4 linked regions of the Lepisosteus oculatus genome follow. The protein of the gene in region 1 interacts with the protein of each later gene in a pairwise test. Links are inferred from orthologs where the notes say so. Each region holds a gene or a part of one and is shown in the gene's direction. Other genes may lie near its edges. The genes, in order: klhl2, bcam, txndc12 and tma16.

Evidence for each region.
Region 2: the proteins of klhl2 (region 1) and bcam interact in binary tests that used the Homo sapiens proteins (3 or more experiments, as listed by UniProt). The two-hybrid records come from large-scale screens. The link is inferred for Lepisosteus oculatus from reciprocal best matches to the Homo sapiens genes KLHL2 and BCAM.
Region 3: the proteins of klhl2 (region 1) and txndc12 interact in binary tests that used the Homo sapiens proteins (3 or more experiments, as listed by UniProt). The two-hybrid records come from large-scale screens. The link is inferred for Lepisosteus oculatus from reciprocal best matches to the Homo sapiens genes KLHL2 and TXNDC12.
Region 4: the proteins of klhl2 (region 1) and tma16 interact in binary tests that used the Homo sapiens proteins (3 or more experiments, as listed by UniProt). The two-hybrid records come from large-scale screens. The link is inferred for Lepisosteus oculatus from reciprocal best matches to the Homo sapiens genes KLHL2 and TMA16.

Annotation. Positions count from the first base shown.
Region 1 is NC_090696.1:22,199,510-22,206,359, reverse strand, and holds the start of klhl2 (kelch-like protein 2), read left to right. Parts: upstream 1-3,849; 5' UTR 3,850-4,202; coding exon 4,203-4,270; intron 4,271-6,850. UniProt on the Homo sapiens protein: Substrate-specific adapter of a BCR (BTB-CUL3-RBX1) E3 ubiquitin ligase complex that mediates the ubiquitination of target proteins, such as NPTXR, WNK1, WNK3 and WNK4, leading most often to their proteasomal degradation.
Region 2 is NC_090722.1:10,514,294-10,521,903, reverse strand, and holds the start of bcam (basal cell adhesion molecule), read left to right. Parts: upstream 1-4,594; 5' UTR 4,595-4,766; coding exon 4,767-4,833; intron 4,834-7,610. UniProt on the Homo sapiens protein: Transmembrane glycoprotein that functions as both a receptor and an adhesion molecule playing a crucial role in cell adhesion, motility, migration and invasion.
Region 3 is NC_090704.1:3,618,476-3,626,438, forward strand, and holds the start of txndc12 (thioredoxin domain-containing protein 12), read left to right. Parts: upstream 1-4,950; 5' UTR 4,951-5,060; coding exon 5,061-5,148; intron 5,149-7,144; coding exon 7,145-7,205; intron 7,206-7,963. Other genes in the region: btf3l4 (transcription factor BTF3 homolog 4), read right to left, coding at 627-828, 1,289-1,402, 3,104-3,157. UniProt on the Homo sapiens protein: Protein-disulfide reductase of the endoplasmic reticulum that promotes disulfide bond formation in client proteins through its thiol-disulfide oxidase activity.
Region 4 is NC_090696.1:22,441,378-22,448,733, reverse strand, and holds the start of tma16 (translation machinery-associated protein 16), read left to right. Parts: upstream 1-4,339; 5' UTR 4,340-4,364; intron 4,365-5,226; 5' UTR 5,227-5,264; coding exon 5,265-5,267; intron 5,268-5,923; coding exon 5,924-6,033; intron 6,034-7,356. UniProt on the Homo sapiens protein: Involved in the biogenesis of the 60S ribosomal subunit in the nucleus.

The DNA of each region.
Region 1 (6,850 bases):
ATTCTTTCTGGCAAAATTGCTCCAGATCTGTCAAGCTATTTGAAACTAGTTAACTTCGCTGTACTCAAAATGATAAGTAACCTGCTCCTGATCTTTGTCTCTCTATAAATTCAGCACTGATTTGTTTTGAAATCGCCTTGTTCTTCATGGTCAATTTGTTGTACCGCAATATCGTGACTTCAAAATCAATATCTTCTGTACCTAAGAGTACTTATAGAGACAGATGCATTTACACTGAAGTCAGCTTCCACTTTGATTCCACACACAGAGAGACCATTATACTAACTTTGTAGGATTTCAAACTATCCTTTAGCTCCCGAATTGATTTAAGGCTATTGTAGCAAAGAGGAGGAACACTTTTGCAATTGAATAATTTCTTTGAGCACCTAATTTATGTACAAACTGTCAGCATTGTTAGCTCTGTCAGTTTAGAACTGATTATATAGATTTTTTTTTCAATTTTCCAGTTATGGAACTATGGAGCCAAGACATTCATCAGAAGACAAAGGTGGGGAAATTTGCCCATTCATCCTGGTAGATTTGCTCAAGTTCTTAAAAGTGCTTGAGCATTTAGCTTACAAATAGCATTTTTCAAGTCTTTCCACAGATTTTCAACAGGTTTCAAGCCAAGACTTTGATTGGGTCACTTCTTTTATTCTTAGCCCACTACGGTGTGCTTTGGTATTGTGTTTTGGGGTTGTTCGCTGAAAAGTGAATTTTCATCGTCGTTTTAGGTCTTCAGAAGACTGAAGCATGTTTTCCTCTAAAATTTGCCTGTCCTTCACTCCACCCTGTTTCTCCCAGTTTTTCTCCATCATTCCCTGTTGAAGAGAAGCAGACCCATAACATCATATTGTTACCAAAAAGTTTAACAGCAGGGATGGTGTTGACTGGCCTTCCACTAGATGTAACATTTGCATGTAGACCAAAATGATGCAGTGTTGTCTTGTTTAGCCACAAAACACGTTTTGCCACTTGTTTACAGTATCACTTAAGTGTTTTGTTGCAAACTAGGTGAAGGAGTTGAAATGTTCTTTTTGCAAGAATGGCTTCCTTCTTTCCAATATGCCATACAAGCCAGCTCTGTCTCATGGAATCATATCTACATGAAGTCTGTAACTTTTTCAGTCACTGTTGGCCTGACAGTGGCATACCTAACTAGTTCCCTCCTTGTCCGACTGCTCAGTTCTCACCTAGACAGTCGTCGACTTCACTGTGCTCAAAGGGATATGTAGTCTCTTTGATATTTTTCTATATTTCTATAGAAATAAATAGAAAATATAGAATATGATATTATTCTATATTTCTATATTTTCATCTCTTGTTCTGCGCCTTTCTACAGCCGTATCCCTGAGTTGTTTTGAAAGGGTGTCTTCATAGCTGAAAATGTGCTTAAAATTCACTGCCTGACCTTTTTTATTCTGAAACCATATGAATCACTATATTCCCCACAGATAGTGGCATATCAATTGTTGCTTTAAAGTGACACGACAACAAGTTTTCAAGTAATGAATTGTGATCACTAATTGTCTGAGTACTATTGGCACTCTATGTACAGTTCTGTGAGATTCAGAGCCCTGTCATCTACAGGCATACAGAATTCTGCCCCTATAATCTTAAAACACAAAACATTTTTTTGTTTAAAAGAGAAAACCTGCATCTTGAAACAAGTTCAGGATTTAATCTTCCTCTCTTAATTTGTGCTCACGGGCATAAATGGAATCAGAATTTCCAAATAAATATGCCTGCAAACTCTCTTGTATTATAATGCTCAGATTCTTGTAATCTTTCGGCATTCAGATTACCTGGACAGAATCTGGTTTCAAGTGGGATTGGTGAAAGGCACTCTCTCGCAGCACAAGCTTCTGTAATGATGTCTATCCTTTCCTCTTTCTGTTTCTCAAACCTGTTTCATGGAGGCTGTCTCAATGGCCTCACTGATTGTTCCAGCTTCCTTAAATCAGTATATCTGTTTTAATATAGCTGTTTAAAATGATCTAACAGTGATTTGGTTTAACCTTAGTTAATTACAAGGTCTCATTTTTCGTGATCCATACCTTTTGCTCTGTTTACATGTCTCAAGGCCAGTCGACAGCTTTTTAAATACAGGATTACAATATCTATTGTTCCAAACCTTCAAAATAAGGCAATCAAGATGAGAACTGTACACAAGCTAATTTGAAAGTGTAACTCAGCAACCACCATTACTGCAACAATGTAGTATATTTAATTTTTCAGAAAGCTTTAAAGTTCCCCATAAAACTGTAATTCTTAACTAGCAGTTAGCATCTAACTGATAGAAAGCATGCAGTTCAGACAGTGGTCAGTTAGTGGTAGATGCTGAAAAATATTGCGATATAATCAGTAATACCACAAGAATCTATATCCATTGACCACTGTTCTTGATATTTTACATCAAAATCATTAACATTCAAAATAAGAGAGCTTAATCTTTTTGTATCGAACGACGAAGATTATGAGGGAACCTGATTCAAATATTCATATCGATGAAGGCATTGACAAAATATACCTCTTACACTTCTTCAGAATTTGACAGTGAAACATGAATAATAGAATAGAAATGGAAACTATGGGACGATACATTTAAAATATCACAGAGGGAACGTTTTTATATGAACAGCAGCAGGTGTCTGTAATATGAGATGTTAGTCGTTCTGGAGAAGCTGGTACCCTAGCTTCCTTGAAAATATGGTTGGATAAGATTATTGGATTGCTTAGCTTCTAACAACTAATTGAAGTAAAGGCAATAACAAATCGTTTGAACAGCCCACAATGCTCATTGGAATGTAACCCACAGTTATCACAATATCCCACTTCAATTTATAATAATAATAATAATAATAATAATAATAATAATAATCATAATAATAATAATAATATAGAAGTTATATAGAGCCTATAATGCTAAGGGGGACTCCACTCCACCACCACCAATATGAAACACACACCTGACTGTAAGTGACTTAAGTCTCTCAGTTTTGGTGTTGGAATCTTGACTTTCCTGCTAACGTTAGAATCTGTTGGATAATATCTTCCATGTGTTCTATTTTCTTGGACAACAAGTAGACTTTAAACAGTACCATCGTGAAAACCCCTTGAGATTATTGCTATCATTACCCATATGCTGCTGTCGTGACAAGACAGCCGCTGATAAACACCTATTTTGGTGTGTTGTCTTTAGAGCTGGTGTTCACTTATTAAAACTAAACACTGCAGTTATGAATGTTTGGCAATATAGGCCACATAAGCACACAGTACTACAAACAGCTGCAATACTTACATAATCAAAGATTAGTAGCATAAGTTACTTAAATACATTAATCATGGGGGACTCAACTTTTTATTAAGAGCTTACACATTTATTTGTGCCTGAACAACTTTTAATAGGTGATCAATTCACAGACACAGACGTGAATGACAATGAATCAAACACTAAGGTAAACTTTTTTTTTCCTTTTCTCAGAGGTCCAGCCAATCACAGTTCATCTAACACACCAGAATAAGAGAAACTCCGAAACTAAAAAAATGTGTATTGAGTTCGTAACACCAACTACAATCCTAATCACTTTCTTAAGAGAGAAAGAAAACGTTAAAACAAGCCTCAGATGGAAAACAGAAATGAAATGGCTTGTGGAACTGGGGACAAAACCAGAAAACACCTGAGCTCCTGAACGAGGTGCGGGAGGAATGGTTTAAGTAGTGTAGTACTGTTTAAAAAAAGTTGAAAAATTTTGACCGGTTTTCCATGTTGGTAGTCTTCCACCAGCAGGGGGAGCTACTGTTTTTTCTCAACAAGTCTGTCTGAAGACGGTCTTTGCTGATATATCCTTGTTTGTGTATTTTAATCATTGAAGGAAATAACAGGTAGTTCACTGTGCTGCTCGTAGCATCTGTACCTTGGTTTTGTGTTCTTCAATATGATCAGTGACTTGGATGGTATCTCTTCGCTCTGTCTGCCGTGATTTTCTCGCTGCAGTGCTTTAGCGAGCGGAATACGAAACTGCTTCCAGCTGAACACTTTTGAATATCAGCAGACTGAATGACACGCGATTTATCGCCCGGCAGAATGAGTGCGAATTAGGAGGACGCTATCGAAATGGATTGGAACCCCTTCCACCGGCACAAAATATAAGTGATCGGTGCATTTCTTTATTTAAAAAAAGACCCGGTTCTGCGATGGAATGGTGCAAGCCGCCGCGTTCACTCCCCGCGTTCTGAAGAGAGACAACACAATGGAGATACATCCAATGTAAGCGTATGGTGTAAAACGTCCATCGTTTCACCGGTGAAGCTCGGAAAACAGGTTAAAGATAGCTGAATACAGAATAATACAAGCGTTAAGATAACCAGACGGGTCTGTGCTATAACCGTTTTGTTGACGAGCCCTCGAATAAGAGCGGTGTCTGTATAAATACAGCGATGTAACAGTGTGGGGTGGTATTGTTCCCCGGGAGACCGGAAGGCACTGACCGCTCCATTAGGCTACGTTCATCGTATAGGAATAATATAGGTGTTATCAATATAGGTATATCTGTTATGCGCTAAGAATCCCGTCAAACGAGAGAAATAAGGAAATAATGCTGTTGTATGTTGTAAACATTCTAGTTCTTCCATCTTGGTCAATACTGTTTTATTTGATGAAATCTAAAGCAGTCGGGTTTCTTTTTTTTGTGCAAAAAAATAATACATTAATGAATTTTGTTCTCCATTATTTTGATTGTCTTGAGTATGAATCGGTTAAAAACTGTTTTTAAAGAAACTAATTTGATTTTGTTTCATCTGCGTCTGACTAGCCCTTATAAGCTACATCCATGTACACGTCGCAGACTAAATTAAAGATTAGAAATATGATGCAGTGTTTTAAAAATGATTTTTTCCCTAGCTAAATCTAATAATCTAGTAACTAGCAAAACGTCATCAATTCAGTTTAGCGATGCCTGCACTGATGATAATGGCTTTTAACAACATGACAGAAACCTATGCATTTGTAATGTTTATTTCTGATGTATTTGAGGGGTCGTGAACTATGGCTGTATTAACTGGGAATGAGGTAAAGTGCACCCCATTATCTTGGTTAAAATGCTTGATTGGCATCTCGTTGTAAGAGAAAACGCAAAAAAACAAAAGGTAAAGAAACAGCAAAATTGTTTCTTGCAAATGACCAGATGTTTTTTTCTTAACGGTTACTAAATCATTTGCTGGTTTTTAAGTACGTGATATCTGCATTATAGAATGGCGGTGTTTGAAAATAACATATTTTAAGGTACTTAAATACTCTAAACCAGATTCACTAACACAACCGTGTTTCTTACCATTTAGTACAAATGTTATGAAACGGCTTTGAAAGTGGGTGTTCATTTTTTTTAATAATGCAATGGCATAATGTGGTTCAACAGACTTCTTGTCATCTTTAGTAATTATATTTCAGAACAATAAGTCGACAATGACGATCTCTCACGAGAATTCAGTCATCACATTACAGACTGCAGTGTCTATTTACAATTATTTAGAGCATGGTCACACTTTATCTGTAAAATCACTTATACTTTGCTAGGAGTTTCTGTTGACTAAGTCTGTCTACGTATAGTATTTAATTTATTCTAATGATGTTTCTGTTTGTTCTGAACATGAATAAAGCAAAGGGTAATTATAGAAAATTGTTTAATTTATGGTAGTAAAAGCTTATGTTTGCCTGCTGCATGTCTGCCAACAACTGTCTCATATAAAGCTGTTCTTAGACTGTTATTTTTTGAAATACCAGACTTAAAAATTTTAGATTACAAACCAGGCATGTTGAAAATGGTTTAACTTCTGTTTTCAGGGTTACAGTAGGAAGAAGTCAATACTGTACTGGGGCTTAGTATTTCAATGGAAGTTTTATATTTCCTTTTACTCAGCACTGTTATCATGACACAGATCCCTTAATTTGGCACACATGACTGACCAACCAGACTAGACACTGAAAAGGCCATGGAATGATTGTATTGTGTTCATTGAATTCACATTTCTTTAAACCATCATACTATAGCTACACAGAGGTGCCATGAACATTTTTGTGTTCTGTTTTTTCCCATATCAATTTTGAAACCTTATTTTACCACCACTTGTTCCTGACATTTTGAAGTGAAGTGAAAGTCCCTGGAACCTTTCAAGCTCTGTAACTTGGCAACTGAACTTAGGAAAACCAGATAATTACAATACATAGGAAATTTGTGGCATGAAAGGCTTGCATCTCATGCTCTGTGCCATTTGATAACTGCTGCTTGCAGAACAGTTTTGATGTTCTGTGTTGTAGTCTCTCTGCTGCAATAATGCTTCATAACTTAATATAATATGAAATTAATAAATAGAAAACGCAGTGAAAAAACGTTTCAGTAACAGTATCTGAGACTGTAACATTAACTGTATTCTGTGTTTATCTTTATTGTCTGTGTAACACATACACCCCTGTGTATAACAGGGATCTCAGCTGCCCGGTCTGAGGGAGGTCTCCTTTAGCTCAGCTGGCAAGTTTCCTGTTGCGTGATGCCAGAGACCCAGGTTTGTGCCCAGCCAGTGAGAGACGAATGGGCAGGGCAGGAGCAGCAAGGGCAGAAACCCCAAGAACCTGTCTTTCATTCTTTATGAAAGAAATCATTGTAGAAGTGTTGGTTGTTCACAGTTTGCCTATAGTAAATATAGTATGATTATGTAAGCCAGTTGTTCTTGAACATTGGCTCTGATTTAGGAATAGAAATTGTCCCTTGGACAATTGGGCGGTGCTGTGGCTCTGTGGTTAAAGATCTTTGCCTGTGGCTGGAAGGTTGCCGGTTTGTATCCCCTGGCCGGC
Region 2 (7,610 bases), on another chromosome or scaffold:
TAGAGACACTCAGTCCAGCTCCTCTGTATCTTCACACTAACACTCCTTCATCATCATCAGAGCTGTAGAGTCACTGTAGAGACACTCAGTCCAGCTCCTCTGTATCTTCACACTAACACTCCTTCATCATCCTCAGAGCTGTAGAGTCACTGTAGAGACACTCAGTCCAGCTCCTCTGTATCTTCACACTAATACTCCTTCATCATCATCAGAGCTGTAGAGTCACTGTAGAGACACTCAGTCCAGCTCCTCTGTATCTTCACACTAACACTCCTTCATCATCATCAGAGCTGTAGAGTCACTGTAGAGACACTCAGTCCAGCTCCTCTGTATCTTCACACTAACACTCCTTCATCATCCTCAGAGCTGTAGAGTCACTGTAGAGACACTCAGTCCAGCTCCTCTGTATCTTCACACTAACACTCCTTCATCATCATCAGAGCTGGAGAGTCACTGTAGAGACACTCAGTCCAGCTCCTCTGTAGCCTCACATTAACACTATATCTTAATCAGAACTGCTCAATATTTATAAATATTATTCCTACTATTTTGTATCTTCAGACATTTTACTAGAATCCGGAGAGAGCAGCGTAATATCGATCGGTCGTGCGATATCGGTAAATTCCGCTCGCTCGGGCGATACGTCATGGCGATTCAGCGCCGGTGACATCACTAAGTGCGAAGCTGAGTCACAGACCGTGCGGTTTCCGGAGCGGGCGTCATGTGCCCAGTGTGGGAACACGGCACCGGAGTGAGAGAAGAGAGAGTGACACAGAGGGGCACGCGGACAAAGAGCACACCGCATCGCTCGTCCTGACCCCGACCCGACCGGGCCGGCGCGTGCCACGTGTTCTGGACTCTCGGCACCACCAGTTCCGCTGGATTATAGAACTGATCTGGGAGTGCAGCGAATTAACACGGCGAGAGCAGGGTAAAAGCACAGTACGGTGCAGGGAATTACAGTATAAAAGCACAGTACACAACCGTAAAGCCCAGTGAGATCAGGGTAAAAGCCCAGTATAGTGCAGTAAATCACAGTGCGATGAACTTGAACTTGATTGCCGTATGTAACCGGTACGTGTACTGGTACAATGGAATTCTTACAGAAAGTCTCTCGGAGCTCATGCCCAGGGTGGTGACTGTCCTCTGTGATGGCCAGAAGTCTCCAGAAGTATTTGATCAATACCTTATAGCAGCACAATACTGATCTTTATTCTCTCCGTGACACATTACAGGACTCATTCAAAAATGCTGACTTTTGGATTGTGAGTCATTTTTGCAAATTTGGATACACTCCTATAGGGCTTTCTGAACACTACATTCCTTGTGTGTGCGGCTACACAGTGTGTTACAGTAACAGTGTGTGTGTGCTGATGGGTCACACTAGCTACACAGTGTGTTACAGTAACTGTGTGTGTGTGTGGATGGGTCTCACACTGGCTACACAGTGTGTTACAGTACTAGTGTGTGTGTGTGTGTCTACACAGTGTGTTACAGTTACAGTATGTGTGTGCTGATGGCTACACAGTGTGTTACAGTACCAGTGTGTGTGCAGATGGGTCACACTGGCTACACAGTGTGTTACAGTTACAGTGTGTGTGTGTGTGCTGATGGCTACACAGTGTGTGTGTGTGTGCTGATGGCTACAGTGTGTTATGTTACAGTACCAGTGTGTGTGTGTGCTGATGGCTACACAGTGTGTTACAGTTACTGTGTGTGTGTGTGTGCTGATGGCTACACAGTGTGTGTGTGCTGATGGCTACACAGTGTGTTACAGTTACTGTGTGTGTGTGCTGATGGCTACACAGTGTGTGTGTGCTGATGGCTACACAGTGTGTTACAGTTACTGTGTGTGTGTGCGCTGATGGCTACACAGTGTGTGTGTGCTGATGGCTACACAGTGTGTTACAGTTACAGTGTGTGTGTGTGTGCGCTGATGGCTACAGTGTGCTACAGTACCAGTGTGCGTGTGCGTGTGTGTGTGGCTACACAGTGTTACAGTACCAGTGTGTGTCTCTCAGTAATGGCTGGGAGATGGGGGTAATCGTGCTGTTAATTGCGGCTGATGAGCTGACTCAGGAGCTGGGCCTGGACTGGTCTACTGGTTCTGGAAGTGGCCCGGGGGGAGTTTGGGAAGGAGGGGGGCAGGACACTGGCTGGGTGTGAAGATGAAGTGGAGAGAGAGACAGATCGCGCCACACAGCTGGCGTCCGGACGGGCGCGCTGATGCCCAGAGAATATTTCCACAATCCAACCACACGAGTAATAAGTGTGAACAAAAGCCGTGCGGATCAGAGGAGGACGCAGCTCTGCAGCAGCCGCCTGTGATTCTGCTGGGGTTCCCAACGGGGCGACTCCTGTCACTGCTGGGCCGGCGCTGGCAGGGGGCGATCCTTCTGATCGCGGCTTTGTGCTCTGGCCGCTGGTGGCGTGGTGCAGCTGCTTTGAAGTTTGATTGACAGGGACATGAGAGGGGAGAGACGGGGAGAGGAGAGAGGAGAGAGAGCAGATCGAGGGAGGAGGGGAGGGGAGATGGAGAGAGAGGAGGTGGAGAGGGGAGAGAAGAGATGGAGAGGGGAGAGGGAGAAAGAGCCCTCGGGTGTCGGAGACAGATGAGAGAGAGAGGCAGGAGGGGGAGAGAGGGGGACAGGGGGAATTCATGAAGGAGGAATATTGTTAAGGGTGTTTGATGAGAATCCGTGTGAATAATGGATGAGGAGCCTCCATGTCATCTCCAAGCTCAGATGGCATTATTATTTTCACGGGGGTGTCACAGTACAGTCACACAGAGCCCCCCTGCTCTCCGTCCCACTCCCTCACCTGTCTGGGTGGCTCACTGCAGTGGCAGTTAGCACTGCTGCCTCAAAGCGCACTGATCCCGGGTTCGATTCCGGACTGGGGGGTCCCCCGTGGCCTGTTTCCTCCCCCCCCTCCCAGATGGAGCCCTGTGATGGACTGGACCGGCCAGCGGTCGTCCAGCGCCGGCCAGTCACCTTCACGGCCACAGCCGGCACCTGTCTGGAAACCGAAGGACGAATGTCGCTGAGGTCTGACTGGCCACTGTGGACGAACCCCGCTGGCCTGCAGCTGTGAGTGACCCCTGACCCCTGACCAGCCGCCCGCAGACGAGAGGCCGGTCAGACCTCTTAGCTCCTTTGGCTGCTTGTTCCCTTGTTCCACACTCCCTCCACCCTTTGTGTAAAGATCGATCTCCTGTTTTCAGCACTTCTCTGTAGTTTCCCCCTGTGTTCTGTGATTCATGTCTCACTGTTGATCTGGAGACGTCCGCCGGCTTGACTGCCAGTAATTGTGAAGATTGTGAATGCTTGCTCAGATCCCACAACACTACCTGGGACACTCCCTTCAGACTAAAGAGACTCAGTTCCTCCAGCCTGTCAGTGTGGAACATTCCCTTCAGACTGAAGAGATTCAGTTCCTGCAGCCTGTCAGTGTGGGACACTCCCTTCAGACTGAAGAGACTCAGTTCCTCCAGCCTGTCAGTGTGGGACTCTCCCTTCAGACTGAAGAGACTCAGTTCCTCCAGCCTGTCAGTGTGGGACTCTCCCTTCAGACTGAAGAGACTCAGTTCCTCCAGCCTGGGAGTGGGTCTGGCTGCTGGTCTACGCCTCTCTCTCCCTCCCTGTCCACAGCACTTGTTCGGCCACGAATCCGTACGAGCTGAAAGGGCTCTGGGCGGCTCGACAGCTGCCTCTGTGAGCACACAGCTGGTGAGGCTCTTCAAGAGCTCGTGAGCCTCACACATCAGTCCGCAACAATCCCAGGAATGTTTGTTAAAATACAACTATTATTAGTTGTGGCTGCAGTAACAGTAGAAATAGCAGTAGATTATCAGCAGGAACAGCAGCAGCAGCAGATTATCATGTATGTATGGACTGGATGTACCAGTACAGCAGGGACACTCACAGGACCAGTACAGCAGGGACACTCACAGTACAGTTGCTTACTAACAGTAGAATTGCTTACAGCAGGAACAGTGACAGCAGTAGATTATCAGCAGGAACATTAACAGGACCAGCACAGCAGGGACACTAACAGGACCAGTACAGCAGGGACACTCACAGGACCAGTACAGCAGGGACACTCACAGGACCAGTACAGCAGGGACACCACTAACAGGACCAGTACAGCAGGGACACTCACAGGACCAGTACAGCAGGGACACTCACAGGACCAGTACAGCAGGGACACCACTAACAGGACCAGTACAGCAGGGACACTAACAGGACCAGTACAGCAGGGACACCATTAACAATCACAGTGCTTGCAGTAGCAATCGCGTAGCTGCAGGCCCAGCCCAGTCCAGTCCAGCCCAGCCCCGGGCACAGGACGGAGCAGGCACGAACACGGCGGTGCTCTGCTGCTGCAGCGCGCGGTCCGGCATCCCCTGCGCTGAGCGGCGGGCCGGCCCGCGAGGACGGCGCTCGCGGTGATTTCGCCCGCAGGCGCCGCGAGGTCGCTCCCGTGCGCTGTGTTTTCACTCCGCTGATCCCCACCACAGCGGGGCGGGGGGAGGGGAGGGGAGAGGGGGGGGCCTGCCGGGGAGGAGGAGTGGGGGAGTCACCTTTTGTGCTGGTATATCAGGCGAACACAGTAGCGCGGCGCAACAGATCTTTCTGCGCCCTGCGAGAGCGAGGGAGTGAGAGCGACAGACGCACAGAGCCGAGCCGAGAGCAGGACCGAACCGGACCGCATCAGCAGCAGCAGAAGAGCAGAGCAGGACAGGACCGGACCGGACCGGGAGAGAAATGGACGCGTTCCGGGGGCTCGGGCGCGCTGTGCCGCTCTGCGCCTGGCTGCTGTGGGCGCTGCACGGTAAGAGCCGGTCTATTTCTGGAGCCGCTGTCCCGGGCTCGGGCGGGCTCGGGCGGGTCGCTGTCTGGGCAGGACGAGGACTCCCACTCCGGCTTCACCTCCGCTCGCCCACTCGTGCTGGTCTCGCGTGTGTCTGAGAAGTTCGAGCTGGGAGTCTGGACGCGTCTGGTCGCGTCTCCCGCCGGGGTGGCTCGGCTCGGCTCGGTCCGGCCCGGCAGGTGCGCCCGGCAGGTGCCGTCGCTGCTGGGGGCGGACGACCGTGTTTGTTTTGGGGGAGATGGGGAGGGGGCGTCTCCCCTCGTGCCCCTTGTACCCCATCAAACACTTTTTATTCGCCGTCAGACTCGTCCCCTCTCCCCGAACTGGACCCCAGGACTCCTCTCCCCGAACTGGACCCCGGGACTCCCGAGCCGTGTGCACTGCGCCACAGCTGCGTGGTTCTGCTGGGCCGGGCCGGGTCCCTGGTTAGGTGCTGCCGACGATCCCCGCTCGGGACAAGCGGGGTGGTGGGGGGGGTCGCCTGGTGTCTCGCGCCTGGGGGGGCAGATTCTTGCGCGCGGGCACAGCCTGGCGGGAGGGGCGCGCGCAGGAGACCCAGCCCGGGTTGACCCGAGAGCCTCGCCCAGCTGCGCCTGGACAGCAGCCAGGCTACCGGCTTCAGGGCAGCTTGTTCCCCACCCCCACCGCCCTCTGTGTAAAGAAGCGCCCCCTGTTGTGGGTTTTAAAGCTCTTCCCTGTAGTCCCCCGGGTGTCCCCCGGTTGGTGTTTCAGGGCTCACCGTGCCGGATGAAGAGAGCGCACTGCCCTGTGCGTGGGACTAACAGGACGGAACAGAAAACAGTCTCTTTAATTGAATGAAGAATCGCCGCGAGCAGCGCCGTTGCTGCGTCATTGTCAGTGCCCTCGCGCCGCCTGCTCCCTCGCGCTGTGTGCCGGGCGTCTGGGCCGGGTCTCGCACGTGCTCTCGGACCGGCGGAACCGGGGTTCGGGGCGGGACGCCGGCACTCGCGTGCGCGCAGATGAGCTGAGTCTGAGCGTGTGGCTCCACTATCGATCGGATTTCATCTGATGGATTCGATCAGGGCGATTGATTGATTGATTGATTGATCGATCGCTGTGATCCCATGGCGCAGGGATGGGTCCAGTGGTGGAATATTCGGGTGAGGCTTCTGGACTGCTGTGAAACTGGACTGAAATACACCATCACACCCTGTAGCAAACTACAAAACACACTGTAGTACACTAGAACACACTGTAGTACACTGTGGTATATACTGTAAAACACTATAACACTGTGGTAAATGCTGTGGTAAACTGGTCTACTAAGAGGCTGTGTGAAGTACACACTGTGGTAAACTGTGGAAGACTCCCTGTGCTGTCAGCAGCAGTGCTGGCAGGCTGTGATTCTCACCCGGGACACTGCACTCGCTGTGCCTCGCTGTGCAGCAGGAAAGGAATTTGGCAAAATGCTACCTTTCTCTCTGTCTCCATCCCCTCCTCTCTCCAGACTCTTTCATCTCCACGCTCCAGGAGTGTGTGTGCGTGCTGTGACAGGCCCTGTTAATGACAGAGGGGGATTTCAGCGTGTCTCCGTCTGTACGGCGCTGAGAGAGGAAGAGGAGGACTGATGCACGATACCTTAGGAATGAAGTCTAGAACTTCAGAACAGCAGCTCTGTCACTCAGCAGCTGTGTCACCCTGCAAACTGACTCTCTGTGGTCATTAACAATCCCAGGGTGTTTCTCTAAAAGAGTAGGGGTGTTACCCCAGTGTCCTGGCCAAATTTCCCCCCTGGTCTTTACCAGTCATGGCCTCCTAATAATCTGAACTGGCTCCATCCCTCTGCTCTCCTCCCCACTGAGAGCTGGTGTGTGGGGAGCGGACTGGCTCATCCAGGTGGGGGGACACACTGGTGGGGGTGGAGGGGATCCCCATGCCCTGTGAAAAGCTTTGAGTGGAGCGCTATACAAGTGTGCGCAATTCTGTTTATCATTAATTCTAACACCTCGTCCTGTGAAAACCAGCGTGCACTCAGATAACAACACGACTCCTAGTGCTGTTGCCACTACACCAGCCCTGCACAGCAGGTCATTAGACGCGCAGCCCTGTTCGTGCACAGTCGGAGGCGACCGCATCGATAACATCGACAATAATCGAGCCCACGCCGGCTCCCGCAGCGGCTGACACTCCCCTGCGTGTCTATTCCACGCTCGCGCGTGGGACTGATCCCACAATCCCAACGGCCGCACGGGCTCCTCTCGGATTCCGGGGTTCCGGGGTTTCAGCGCGAGGCGGAGAGAATCGATCGGACAGGCCGGTCGTGGGGGGTCCGGTAGTTCACGCGAGGTACCCTCTCCCTTCAAAGTCGGACCTCCTGCCTGGAGTAATTATCTCAGCATTAGTCGCCCCGGGTTTCAATCATCTTTCAATTATTTTTTTTAAACGACACCCCGCAGTAGGAATGCGTCGTGACACTACAACGATTCCGCCCTTTGAAGTTGGCGAGAGATTGAATTAATTAACAACACGGTCCTTAATTCAAGAGAGGTTTTCTTTCAAGGTCGCGCAGTTACTGGGAAACGTCCTGTGAAAATGAATTTCCGAGGAACCGCGGGTTTCAGATGTTGATCCTGCCTGCGGTCTGCGTATCGCGTTTTCAACCCCTCTCTTATTTTAGAGCTGTTTACTCATCGGGCTCGCCTGTAAACCTCAGAGGAGAGACGGCTGATAACCCGTATTGCTTAACAAACATTTTTCTCTCTCTGTGAGCGAGATGA
Region 3 (7,963 bases), on another chromosome or scaffold:
AACGAGCGGCGTAGGGACGGTCCACACCGACCCCTGCTAACAGAGGCTACGTGTACGCTCTCTGAAAAAACAGCTTAGATGCGTCAATTGTTTCCTACATTTACTTTTTATTTTGTGGGTAAATTGATGACGGTGCAGGATTTTAGGTAACGCCGAAAATGGAGAGGCAGCTGGGGAGGCAAAGCCATATTTAGTGCTTCCCCTCTGGCTGCACCCCCGGAGCTGGAGCCCATCCCAGCAAGCAACGGGCGAAAAGCAGGATACACCCTGGACAGGACGCCGATCCATCACGGGGCAGACAGACACCGACCAACACCCACACACCCTTCCACACCGGGCCCCCTTTTCTCAGGAGCCAATTAACCTACCAGTAGGTCGTTGGACAGCGGGAGGAAACCGGAGCACCCAAAGAAGGAAACCAAAGCAAACCAGGGGAGAACATGCAAACTCCCCCCAGATAGCTCCCCGGGTCTTGGAATTGAACTCAGGGGGGGCCCCAGCGCTGGGAGGCAGCAATGCTCACCCACTGCGCCACCGCAACAGCCTTAAACGGCACACATCACTCATCAAAACAAAAGCGGGCATCTCGAGATCCCTTGACCTGCAATCACCTGCAGGACACACACCTTGCCGCGGGAACTGCTCTGCGAGTTTGCGGAGGCTGGTCAGGCTGTCGGCGCCCAGCTGGCTGAGGATGCCCGGGAGCATCTCTGTGAGCTGCTTGGTTTCCGCGTGGCCGGTGATGGCGAAGGTGTTGGCAGACAGGGAGGCCTGCACCTTGGGGTTGTTAAAGTGAATCACGGTCCCGTCGTCTTTGATCATGTTCACCTGCGGAGACAACCCGCCGATCAGAACAAGCTCCCGATGGGGGGGGGATAAATCGCGTTGCTATCCGGGTCTTTTCTTTTTACTATCAACATCTGCCTTCACATGCCACATTAAAGACAGTCAGGCTAAACGAAGTGGTTTTGCTATTTTGCGCACGTTAAGGAACTCCTTTCAAGATTGTTTCAGATCACGAAAGGGCCAGAAGATCCTTAAGTACATAACTATCAGTTGGCTCATACTTTTATCCAATGTGACTTACCTTTGTACCTATTTTATACAGCTGGGCGTTCTACAAAAACAACCCAAGTGAAGTGCCATGCTAAAACGTCCAACTCCAGTGCCTCACCCAGGATTTGAACCCACAACTTTCTCAATACAAGCCCAGATCCCTCACCGCTACTTTACACTGGTGTCCAATGAAACAGACCCTGTGACACTGGGCTTGTATGAGGTTACTCACCTCCTCAATGCCTGCAATGTTGTTCACAGCCAGTTTCTTGAGAGAACTTTGAAGTTTTTTGTCATCAGCCGTTGCTGTTCTGTGTACCACCTTCTTCTTCCTACGCGCTGTTCCCTGCAGACCGAACAGGAGAAAACGTGGGACAGAGGCACACATGCGCGCGCACAAAAACAACAGGAGTGGAGGAAGCCAGGAACAGTTTTGAGGATCCAGGATGTGGAAAGCAATGAATAACCAAAACAAAACTGCAAGAGAATGACAACATTTCTCTTTGAGATTAAGCTAACATTTCAGCCAATTCCCGTTAATCACAAAGAACATAGGTTTTCATCAAAAACCTGGAAGAACTGGCTTAAATTAAACCCTTGGATGTTTTCCATCATCTATCCCAAAACCCAGAGTCCAAAATTTGCTAGAAGCCATACTACTAAACGAACTTCTACAGAATGGCTTTGAAGAGATGGGACAGTAGAGGGACATGAGCCTCTTGTCCTTTTGAAATCGCAGAGCTGGTAAAAGCCACCAGCCCCTGCATGAATGGCACAAACCAAACACCACCATGAAAGGAATGCCGATGCAAGCAGAACTAGGGCCTGTGTGGACAGCACGAAGAGCTGTTTTTTTTCTTTTTACCCCTTTGCTTTGACCAAGCGGCAAATAACAGGGGTCTCCAAACAGTGCTCAACGGGTCCGTGTCCCACTCCACTGACCGGAGGGTGAGCTTCAAAGTCATCCCCTTCATCCGCCATTATCAAGGGATGCTCAGCTCTATCAAAGCCGCAAGACTATTAAATGGATGAGTCACAGAACGACAGGTTCACTGACACGGCCATTTCTGATTCTCATCCGATCAACCCCAGTAGACCTTGACCCCACTCCCAGAACGGCAGGGTGAATGACTGTGAACCCTGCCTCGGACTGCACCTTCTCCTCAGGGGTGTGCCGGCTTCCCAGGAAGAGGGACGAACAGCTTCACTCGTGACCGACGTCATTAAGAGCACAAGAAAGGCTACAAACGAGACGAGGCCATCCGGCCCCTCTTGTCCCTTTTGTAGTTACAAGCTTAAAGCCATGAGGATCCTACGGGGCCGCTCCTCGTGGGAAGCCATGAGTATCAGCTTCAGCCACGTGGCGGTCTGATCCCGTGCAAATGCTCAGACCGAGCAAGCGTCGAGCAGCCGATGTTGCCGCCGACGGCAAAAAGAAATGTCGCCCAGAATGCCCATCGAGTAAAACCTGGCCTCCATGTGCTGGTGTTGCATTGACTGGCAGCACGACACTGTATAACCAGGAGAGTTACTGAGTTACTGATCTCGGGGCTAACCGCACTGCCGATCCAACCTAGAGTGGACTGTAAACGCAGGGCTTCTCATCACGATCAACCGTTCGAGATCGTCTGATCCCGACTGGGACCGGCAGGGTCAACGCCCCTAGAGCTGGAAGTTGACAGGGTCAGGCCTGGTGTGGCTTTATCGACGGGTTTACAGGTACAGCGTGTCAAAACAGACCGTCCGCCAGCAAGCAGAACTCAGTCCTCATCTATCAATTAAACAAGCCAGGTGGCCTCCTGGCTTGTGACCTTGCGTTCTTGAAGAAGCGCTAGTCAGCGATGTGACTGCCGCGGACCTGCCTTGTTCTTTTGGGAAGAAATCACAAAAGTACATAACAAAAGAACAAGACATACGGTTCAAAATAACTGTACTAATGAAAGCCATTTGAGAGGGATAACTTGACCGGATTTTATTCTGTTACTACTTTGAATAGCAAAGACAAGCTGTAGAGGAGATCGGGGGTGAGAAAAAAAAAGACTCCTACCTTTCCACCTATTCGAACCTGGGCCTGAAGCTTGGCTAATTTTTCTTGATTCATAGCGTTATCTGAAACACAAAAAGAACACAGCAGCTTCTGTTACTTTTACAAGAAAGAGCTGGTACCTCACTCAGCAGCTGTGCCTGACGGAGCACAGGAGAGGCAGCTGGTGAATAAAGCTGTTAAGTTACAGTCATGTACCGGAGTTTTTAAGAACTTCAGTCAAAACCTCAAACTTACTTTCTTCTGCAGGGGGACAACTGAGTTTTACTTAAGTGCTTTAAAAACCTTTTTTAGGTCCAGCATTCATCAAGAGCTTCCAACCTAAAACTCGGTTTAGATGCAGAAAAAAAAAATACAGGAATAATCATAGTGACCCTTCACGTAAAAACCAAGGCTGTCCCCAACAGATCCACTTCACACGAGAAGGGACAGACATAAATGTCAATAAAAACACGTGTTAACGACAAGAGGACATTTAATCGGCGCCTTGATAAAACCTCGCTCTTTCACGGGCATGTCAGCACACACTGACTGATCAGGAAAGAAAAAAAAAAGAGAAACTGCAACTGGGTTCTGCCCTCGGCGCACTGCCTAGCGTACGAGATAAAACACACACACCGTAGTCACAATGAACGTGCCTTTATTAAAATGACCAGCACACCCAGCAAGAATGCGCCCACTTGTTCTGATACGCGATATTAGTATCACATACGAACAAAAATACCCACAAATCCAGCTCCAGGTTTATGCCAGCACTTCAATTTCTTACGAATAAACGCTAAGGCCCATTTTCAGCCAACACAGTAGTATTTACGCAGGCTACCATTAGCAAATACCACACTGTCCACACACTGTGGCCGGGGAAAAAAAGATGACAACATTCTATGGGTTCGTTTCGCACGGTAACCTTCTTCCCCGCACCTTTTTTACTGTTTTTCTATTTTCCGTCCCCTCTGCACCACTACAGCAGAGATGGCCTCTCTCTTGACGGGGATCCAGACACAGACGCAGAGACAGGAACACGCGGCGACGAAAGATGGCGGATCTAAGGGAGAACCTGCGTCCGCTATCACGTGACGGCCAGAGGCCCCGCCCCCCGCCTTGGCGGAAGAGAGGGCTGTCGCGGTGTCGCAGTAAATAACAGTCCGCCGGCACGACTTCCGGTGGTCACAATAATTTATAATTCAGTATACTAGATAGAAAATTCTGTAACAGTAGTTTTACTTAATGACTTTTAACACTTAATAATTCCTTAAATATCACAAAATTATAATATTGTATTTAAATTATATCACAAATTATTTTCAATAATACAATAATTTTGGAACGTCAAACTACTGCTCAATAATATTTTAGCCAAATATGTATTTTGTTGCTTCATCCCATCGCTGACTGCTCTCACATATTGCCAACCGCATCACATGTTGTAGCCAATATTAAAATAGACCGTCCATTGCTAGAATTTTAGATTGTTTTATTTCATAGAAGCCATGCACTGATATAATAGCAATTAACAACAACACTGTTATCTGAACGTTGAGTTTAATAGTTTAAGATATTTGATCACATATAAAAGAGGAGGTTAAAATTCCCCTTTAAGCAACCGTATATGAGTGCTACCTTTTATTTCATTTAAATAATATACAAAAATATTGCTGGAATAGTTTTTCGTCTCAAAAGTAACTCAAGATAGAGTGGCAATCCCCCGGACGGCGGCTTGGAAACGTGCTCTTCTCTGCTTAGCACTGCCGTGCGCCTGTATGGAAAATGGAGGTGAAATATTTACGATCCCTTTAATTACAAAAAAACGCAGACCGAGCCAGCAGCTTGTCGTCACTTCCTCGATGAGGTCGGACCAGGAGAGTAAAATTACGCTGGGGGTGGGGGGTTGGATTTTTTTTTTGTTTTGGTGGCTTGGCACAAGGTTGAGTCCTATATTTACCGAAATCTGAAACTCATAATGAAGATGCAGATGCCGCTGGTTAATTTTACTGTGCTGTGCTTTTTGGTCGTTCTCTCTGTGGTTACAGGAGAGGGGCTTGGCAGAGGTGAGGTGTGCTATATTTTGGTGATGAATGTTGAATTCATGTTGGTCGGCAGCGCGTTTCACTGAAGGCATCACTGCATGTCTGTTACAGAAATCTTTGTGAACCTTGTGTGGGTGAGAGAGAGAGAGGGACGAACTGTTTTTTTTAGTTAATGGTTATTTAATCTCCGAAAATCGTGAAATTCATACTGCAGTTCTACTAGTGAGATCCATGTACAGTAGTAGCATGTAGATTTCATTTGAGACTGAAGAGGTGAACTAATCATGTTTTCTGGTGTATAAATAAAATCCTTCGTGAAATATCTATTATGCTCGCATGTACTATACTAAAATAATATTTTATCTTGCATAATCACACTCACAAATCCTTATTGGCCTGGCTGATGCGTTACAGTGTTGCGAAAGTATTTAGGGATACGTTTACACATTTGTAACAAATCGTTTACGCAAACGAGGTTCCACGACAATGCCAGCAAGTTAAGTTCGAAAAGTGTTGTCTAATGTGCTGTTAATGGAAATCCGATTCTCTTTGCGTCAAAAATAAGTAGTTTCGCTGCAAAATATATCAGGTTATCTCCTTTTAAATGCTACGGTTTTGTTTTTCCATTTGTACTGTTTTCTACAATAAAACTTCGCCATTCATGTGATTCTCCAATTCCCCATAAATGAAGGGAGGTCATCGGACTTTCTTAGGACTTTCTAGGACAGACGGTTTGATCTTTATTTAATACGGTAAATCAGATTCATTTAGGACATGAGAACGGTTACAAACGTGAGCAGGCCGTTGTTGAGCATTTTTGTTGGATTATTGTTAACTTTTTCAAAACCTAAGCACACTGACCTGCTCCTCACATTGCAGTTGTCCTGCGGGTTTCTAATTTCCCGTGAATATGCTGAAAACTCTAAAACCAGTGGAATGAGCTTAGCCATCACAGTTTAAGGAAAGGTAGGTTCCATGAGGGACTAACCAGCTTGGGTAAAAGGAAAGCTCGAAAGCAGTGCCTATTGGCGCTGCCAGTTGTGCACTGGTCCTTCATCATTTACGTCCTCTTCCTCAGTGTTTTAAGCCTCCTCTCGTTCCTGCAGCCAGTGGAGAAGAGAGTCCTGACAATACGTGCACAGCAGGAAAGGCAACCTGTTCTGTAGAGAGGAATGGGTAATCTGCTGTCAGAATACAATATGATATACAAAACTGAAATATAAGACTAGGAGTGTCGCGAAACACTAAAGGCCGGTCAAGCTAGTGAATAAGATCATTGTTGTACCTGGAGCTGTCACAGTCAGGTTTTGTAGTAACAGAACAATGGTTATGAAAGATATTCATTGCCATTACTTTGTCCTTCTGACACTTCAGTACAGAATGACCTATTTATACAGCTAGGTTTCTTACTGAAGAAGTCTCTGGGAAGTTCTGTGCTCAAGGGTACAACAGCAATACCTCGCACAGGAACTGAAACTACTACCTTACAGTGAGCAGCCCGGAGGCCTCAACACTACTCCTCAATGCTGCCTCAATCTAAAACATCACTGTAACTCTGAGAGACCTCCTCTTGCTTTCTTTGAGTTCATTAAAGAAGGAAGCATATCTTCAGAAGCACTTTCAGCGCGTTTTTCCCCACTGACTGCATTTTTATGTGCAGTATGTGACTCTTGTTAGCGGTTTTGGTTTGATCTTCCTAGTAAACTATTAAAATAGCTCCTGAAATGAATTCTCCAAGCTGTCTGTTAACAAGTGTACAGGAGGAGGTAACTGGTATGGCGCACAGTGCACTGAAAGCCATTTACTGGTATTCTATTCAAGGGATGGTTACGGTATCAGTCAAAGCCATCTTACTGAAGCCTTTGAAGAACTTTTTCCCTCATTCCAGTCTAGATGCTTTGGCTACTCTTTTGTTTTTTTTTTAAAGACCAAAGAGAGTAAAACTCCCTCTGAGCTTGTGTCGGCTTAACTCCGCCACTGGCAGAGGGATGATCCCGCTGTTCCTGTTGTTCTGCAGGGTTTGGTGATAATATTCACTGGAGGAGTCTGGAGGATGGCAAAAGGGAAGCAGATGCTAGGTAAGAACCTGAGACGCCCCAGCCAGCCCGTTCGGCATATAGTCGCCAATTGGACCCAGGATCTCGCGCAGCCAGTGTATCGGATTCAACTGCATGGCAGGGTAGCTTGTTCAACACCCCCGCCACTCTTTGTGTGAAGAAGTGTGTCATGTTCTCAATTTTACAGGCCCTTTTCCCCCATTGTTTCCACTGTGATCTGCTGGTTTGTGTTGGTCTGGTCCCCTTTGTAACATCCTCTCTTTCCAGACGAAAATATTTAGTTCTTTTAGCTTGTTGACGTGGCACATGTTAAGTCTGAGAATGTATCTGGTCACTCTTCTGAGGACTGATTCCAAAGCAGCAATATTTATTTTTGTAAGAAAGAAAATCGTACACAATATTCTAAATGAGGTATTAGTTGATTGTTGTACAAGTTTGGCATCCAATTCCTCAAATTAAACCCTACACTTCAAATTAGATATCCTAACATTATTTAATTAGAACTATATAAGTTATGTACTACATTTACCCAAAAAATACCAAAGTTCTAGTTATTGTATAAACCTAAACATCATTCACCCCTTGTTTAATATTGAGTAGAAGAGCAATACAAGGTATCATTCAAGGGTATCGGCTTCCACAACTGGGCTGGGCAGCTTGTTCCAGACTCCTGCAACAACTTATTAAATGCACAACTTCTGAGTTTCCACCCACGTCCCCTTTCTTTCATTTTCACTGTCGATCTTTGCAGGATAGACATCTTTAAATATTTACCCCTT
Region 4 (7,356 bases), about 240 kb from region 1:
AAAATCTAGAACAGGAACCGGAACAGGAACAAGGAGTTAAAATAGAATAATGAGGCCAGGCGCTCTGAGCCCCGGGCTCAGATGGCCAGGATGCCGGGGAATAAGGCCTGCCCTCGGGCTACCCGCGAGACCGGGGAATAGGCAAGCCATGTGGCGTCCATCTTCCAGTGTTGAGCCAGGAATAGCGAGAGCACCAGCCTTTAATAATGACGGACAAACAGGGAGCAAGTGCACCTAATGAACTAAAATACAAAAGAGTCGGAGCGCCCTTAAGAGGATGGATGACGATCATGACACTCACTCCATTGAGTCCAAAGGTAGACTGTCTCTTTCTCTCACCATTTCCTTTATAAACTCCTCTCCTGAACAACAACTACTTAAGGAGTGATTTAAATTCCATTTGAGCCTTTATCCTGTGAAATTACTTGTAGAATTCACAGGGTGAATACTTTGTAGAGCAGGATCCAGGGCTGATGGCAAAAGTTGGTATACCACTCTACTTTTGTGATAACCTACTTCTTCAATAATGCAGTGAACTCTGCTGCAACTAATCAAAGCATTCTTTTATTAAATCATTAATATCCCTTGTGAGCCAAATAAAAATGCATTTCAGAAGACTGAAAAGTATAATAAATTAAATATTATGGAATGTTCCAAAGTATCAGACATACAACATTACCATGAAAGAAAAATCTTGTCATTCTCTTGCTGACTGACAGAATATTAAAACAAGAAACAAAATATTTGCACCTGACATTCGGAACCGGAAACAAAATTAGATGAAAGTTGCTTGTAGCCCACAGACACAACACTGTGAAGTATACAGTAGGTTCTTTAAACATACAGTGTGTGGGCATCCTGAATTCAGGTGGCTACCAAAGGTTGCAGAATATACAGTATATCTTGTACAACCAAGGCACTTCTTTTCAATAGAAGATTTGGGTGTGTCGTAAAAACTTCATATTATGCAAAGCATCATACAAGAATTTCAAAAAGTAGTATGGTTGCCTTCTGTTACATTTCTGATAATAAAGTTGGCTAAACTTTTATTTGAGTAAAATTTATTATATACAACAGAACTTTCTATACATGACTACAGGTGCAATATCCTTAGGCACGTTCCTGCAGGACTCTCAGTAGTTCATGACACTTAATTTTAATAATCTAAGACATCCTCATGATTTTGTACATTATGCTCATATTTACAAAACATTTCCACCCACCAAATTGACACCTGTTTTTATCCAGGATTTTGACAATTGTTCATTTTTTGAATTCTCATTACAGCATCCCTAAAGGAAGTTTTCTTTCTTGATGTTGTACAAAGTTGATTTTCCTTCTGCAAAAACACATGGATTTTAGGACATTAAAGAAATTATATCTAAATGTTATTTAGTAACTTAATCATAGTAACAGATTATATGCCAAGAAAGAGGAACCCCAGAGTCTTCACTGTAGACATTTTGTCCCAAGACTAAGAAATAGACTTAAATGAACAAACCCTGCACATCCTTTATATAGCAAACTACTGTATGTGAGATTGTGCAGAGACCCTCCACCATCAGTCTAAATCATGACACATATTATTTTATTTGCTGTAGTTATTTTAGGATTAAATCTATACTCTCTTAAGAATTTTCTTGGAATGTGACACTCACTTTTTCTATTTCATAATGTTCTAGTACATTTCTCAGTGTTGAGAAATACTCAGCTGTGTATTTGATAATACATAACTGTTACATTTATTAAATAATATTTAATAATAAATAATAGTGTTTAAAGAACTTCATTTGGTCAAATTCTGTTTGAAAATTGCTCTTAAATTATCTTTGATCAGTGATAGTTATGTATGTTTGCAAAGCATATTCCATTTTCCCATTCATTTTTATTTTAAATGGAGATTATATATAGTGTTTACACTCACAAGAAAGCAATACAGTATCTTTATTTTGTAAATGTAAATGTGTATACAGAATTGTAATAGGTGGTAATATAGTCAACTAGGACTCCCAGAAATGTGAATTATCCCATGAAACAGATTGGTCTTTTTCTGTAGACGAATTCACTCATGTTGAATGGGGGCTTTTAAAGATAATTGAGTAGTAGTTGATGAAACTCTGCATAAAAACTACAAAGTAATCAGACATCAGACAGGCACTGATCCAAATTGTTCTAAAAAAAGGTGCAGAGGTGAACTTTTCTTTTTCATTTATGAGACATCTTACTTAATGACGTCTTTAGTGAATAAGACTGTTCAATTAATTCACATTTTACTTCCATCTGCCTTGAAGAAAATAGCTTCGAGTGAGTACAGGTGTTAGACACTTATTTTTGATTGCAGTGAATTGGGCTGGAAATAGACTCCATCTCCCCTTCACCTGCTGACTGTTGTCTGGTTTTAACGGATTGGCAATCTTGCCAGGGCCATGCTGGAAGGCTGGGTTAATGGGAGCATCATGACAGAAAACAAAATTAATCAGTACAGAAAAGAAAATGTGTTTTCCATATGGAGACAAGTAGTTGGGTAGGTGCTGAAGCTGGTCTTAAACTTGTTTTGATGCTCAGGATTCTCTTTTGCCAGCCTCCAATATATGCATGAGAAACTTGTCACATACAAAATGAAGAAATATGGGGAAGGATGGTCTAGAACTGAATCCTTTTGACCAGGGCTCTGCTCCTGTTCCCTGGCCAAAGATTTAACTGTACAGACTGAGTAATCAGATAACCTTTAGATAACTTCCAGGTCCAGTGCTGCTGAATTTTTTAACGCTGCTGGCAAACCAACCCTCTCCTTTGCAGGGTGTCAGGATGTCTCCTCCTGACATAAAAAAACAAGCAGTAAACAGGGATCTCTAAACCTACAGATACCAATGCCTACCTGTGCAGTATTTACACCTAAATGTACTCAGTTCCTGAGAAAGCCTGAACTCAAATTAATCCAGACCTTACAAAAAAGCATTCACACACAAAATTCAATCATGCCTCAGAATAAGGTATTGTAGCGAATTCAGGTTCTTGGGGTTTCTGCCCTTACCGCTCTTGCCCCAAGTCGTCCTCCGCCTCAGAATCAAACCCGGGTCTCCGGCGTCGCTCAACAGGGATATTGCCGGCTGAGCTCAGCCCGGACGGCCAACATCTCTGTTATGCGCAGGGGAGAGGGCGGTGCCGTCACCGCGCTGCAACCGGCTCGTACAACCTGTATGTCGGCCGTTCGTTACAGTATACTCAATAATAGGGAAAAAAAACAACAAATAATGAGGACACATTAATAATCAAAGCTGTGAAGTTTTCAGTCCTAGCTCAGCATTTTCCTTGGTAATAAAAACATAAGAAAGGTTGAAAACCAGAGTACATATTTTGATTGCTAGTAGCTAACTACAGTAAGTGGAGAATAAATGAGAGTTTACAAATAAAGATCTTATCCAGTCCTTTCTTGAAGAAAGCACTGTTATTGGCTTCTACAACTTGAATGGCTAGCTTATTCCAACATCTTACAACCTATTGTGTAAAAGAAATGCCTCCTTTTGTCATTTATTCTGTGTCTCACCTATTCATATCTCACCACTTTGTAATTGTAACCCTTGTCCTCTGATTCCTGGTAGCAGGCAATAACTAATACTATGTTCTCCCTTATGAAAATGAAATATATTGCAATATACCAGACATAATGTGTGGACATATCTTTCAGTATAATGCAAAATATATTTACTTCAAATTTATAGATATAAGATTATATTTAAAATGTAATGAAATAAATATTTACCATAATATATTTTAACAAACATATTTCCAAATATATGGTGTATAAGATATGAAATATACTGTCTCTCCAGACCCATGTTTCTGCCAGATCATTTACTTATTTATCTTATTTATTTATCTGGAAAAAGCCAAACAGTTTTTCCACATGAACACTTTATTTTGAACTCCCTGTAGCTCACTATAAGTAGTTCATGCAGGTAGTTGCGTCAGCATGCATAGCCTGCAAAGGACCAAGGTTTATTCCATGCTGAAACAACGTTGTTTCCTTTTGTTCTCTTTTCAGCACGACTGCTACACAAATTGCAGAGATTAGGTTTAGAAAACTGGCTAGTTGTGTACAGTAGGTCTCAATGGCTCATGAACACTGCACCTCTAAGAGAACTGTACACTCCCCCCGTAATCACACAGAGCTAGTTCTTCTACTAAGTTCTAGTGTTTCTACTTGCTGAACTGCATTATCTATTGTGACGTCCTACGGGTCCAGTCCAGGTCTCTAATGGTTTCACCTGTGGTAGTCAGGTGTTTTAGCCGAGAGTTAACTGTATAAGTAACATTCATAGCGATTAAATTTCTACTATGGGCAAGGGAGTAAGGTGGAAAAGGTGAACAATTAAAAGGCATTTGTTGCATCGTTATTCCAATACCGGAATAAACCGAGGATTTACTGTACCTTTTTTTTAAGAATTAGGAATGTGAAGCCGTAGAGTAAATGGAAGACAAAAAACATATAATTTCGTTTATATGATAAGATGCTCCTTTAGGTGTTGACGTGTGGATCAACAAGTTTATTATTATTATTATTATTATTATTATCACCAATGTGAAAAACAAATTGTTGCTATGATGATGAATATGGGAATTTCAGTAAAGGCTAGTGTGAACCTCCTTCATATATAAGCAAAAAATCACGTTTACAGTCTATTCCATCTCTAATAACGAAACACCCCGTCTTTTCAAAGGACTGTAATATAAGGGAAGGGGTTACCGATATTGCTGTATGTCCATTAAATCACGAATGAATTTTTTTCAACGCCGAAACGCATATGAGAATTTATGTATGTGTGCTTACTGGATCACTGTCTGAAATTAATTATCATAAATATACGATCCTTTCCACTGTATCGTATATACAAAGTTTATAAAAATCGCTAAAGCAAATGAAACAAATATCCATGGCAATGTAACTGACCTATCCCGACAGAGTACCAATGCTGATCATAAATTTCAATATTGTATAACATTTAACGATATTTTATCATTTGTGCATTTCATCGTTGTTGCGTGTCAAGTCAGGTTTTTCTGATTTTACAGACATTATTCTGCTTTAGCAATTTTCGTTCTTTAAATCCAAAGTCCGTTAAACTGGAGGTTTACTGTACTCATTCTCTCCGGAACATCACATTGCGGTTTACTGAGATCGGGGAAGAAAAATATTGTCGTACCATTTTCCGTTTTCTCTCACAGACGGAGTTGGGCACGTGGGATACAGCTCCTTGACAGAAATGGTGAGTTTTGTATAATATATCATAAGGTAACTTCACTTGTAAAACCAGAGTGATGGCATTTTATACGATTAAATAATTTTTCCCTTTAACATTCTCTAGTTCTAGTTTAAATTGTAAATTTAAATATCTGTTCATGTCGATTACTTTTGATGTTACTTCTAAGTAGCAACTTGTCTGATCAATATATAGATATCTGTATTTAATGCAGAGTTGATATAATAACGTCCTTATGTTGAGATGGCTTCAAGGTAACATACACCGAGGTAAAAATAAAAAACGTATGCCTATTTTATTTTAATTTAAACTCCTTGATAGCCAGCACTACACCAAGTGAACACTAGTCGTGTTCAATTGCAGTACATGTAAACTATCTCTATCAAGTACTATTGTGCAGAAAAGGCACCCTTTTCCACAACTGAATAATCCAGACATTTATCTCTAATGTTAGTCCCCCTAAAATGGGGTTTCTGTTTTATCGTACGTAAGAGAAAATTTCCAATTTTATTAAGTGTTGAAGCGTTTTCAGTAGCATTCCCTTAAGATTTTTGTTACCTTTAATATATGTCTTAATGTTTTGGACATTGTATATATGTGTAAGTATGTCATAGTGGGTAAAGCACTAACCAACACACTTGTTTCACACCGCCGTGTCTTAGCCTAAAGCCCCCAAAGGCAAAGGAGCGGCGGAGAAGAAGGTTGTTCACCCTTACAGCAGAAAGGCTGCTCAGATAGCGAGAGGGGTTATCAAACAGGAAAGGAAGGAAAGGTAAGAACACCTGGCGGATTCCATAGTGCTTTTGATCTCTTGGAAAAAGAGCGAGCAAAGAAATACAATAATTGAAAAATACCATCGACCCATGAGACCTGCATGTGTGTCTCCTTCCTGTATTTCCACAAGAATATGCCAAGCTTTTTATAGGGTTATTTTTCCACATGATTATGATGTTTTAATAAGCAAGATGCACTACATTAGTATGTAAAATGTCCTTTCTCAGAAAAATGTAAATAGTGCATTGGTTAGTTTGGCTTTCTCCCACCAGTAAAGATCACATGCATTGATGTTGGGTATCGAAGGCATCACAGACCAGTCTTTTCAATGTGAATCAGGCAACTTTTTAAAAAGAATTCTAGTGTCAAAATTTGGGTTAACATTTTGCAGACCTCAAATTATATTAAACTACCATGTTACAGCAGAATTCCCAGTCTAATAAGATTTTCATAAATACTCAAACCGGTTAATTCATGTCCTTTTGCTCCCTCTACTGAATACTGTAAGACCTTCAAGCAATTATTTAACAGCAAAACACTTATAACAATTGCAGTCTCAAATGACATGTATTAAACTCTTTGAACCTTTTCAGTCAGATTTAGACAGACCTAGCATTGGAACAGCCCTTGTTAAATTACTTAACGATTTGCTCCCCACTCTAGGTCACTGCATATTCATTTACGTCTGTACCTAAGTGCAGCTCTTGACACTGCTTGATACAGCCTTTGCACTGGGAACATTATGTATGTATCACTTCTGTATTCCTTCATTGATTTGGCTCCTTTTTGACTACCTAAGAGGCAATTTATAAATCTAATCTTGGCTGTTTAAAAACTGATGCTATTACGTTTAGGTTTTGTGCTGGGGTCTTTACTATTTCGTCTTGCATCTTGGTGTAATTATTTGCCATCCTGGACATGAGTTTTGATGTCATGGTGACTGAATTATTTTCAGAGCAGATCAGATACTGCCGCTGTGGATTTTGCACATTACCGGGTCATTGATATTAAAAGAATGAATACAAAAGAACTCAAGCTAAGCTGTGGCAAACCTAAAGTTGTGCTCCTAAGCTCCCCCATGAGCTTTGCAAATGTGTTGAACTTGGTGTTATTTCTGGACCTGAGTTGTCATTTTAAGGGATGTGTCACAAATGTTTTTTATTCTCCCACCTGTAAACATTTCTCACTTGAATTAAGAAATGAGAAATGTTGTTACGCTTTTATGTAAATTGTACATAAAAAAAAACAAATGGGCAGCATTTTCATTTCATTATTATAACCATCATAGGTTTCATTATTAACGCCTTCATTTTTTATTTCC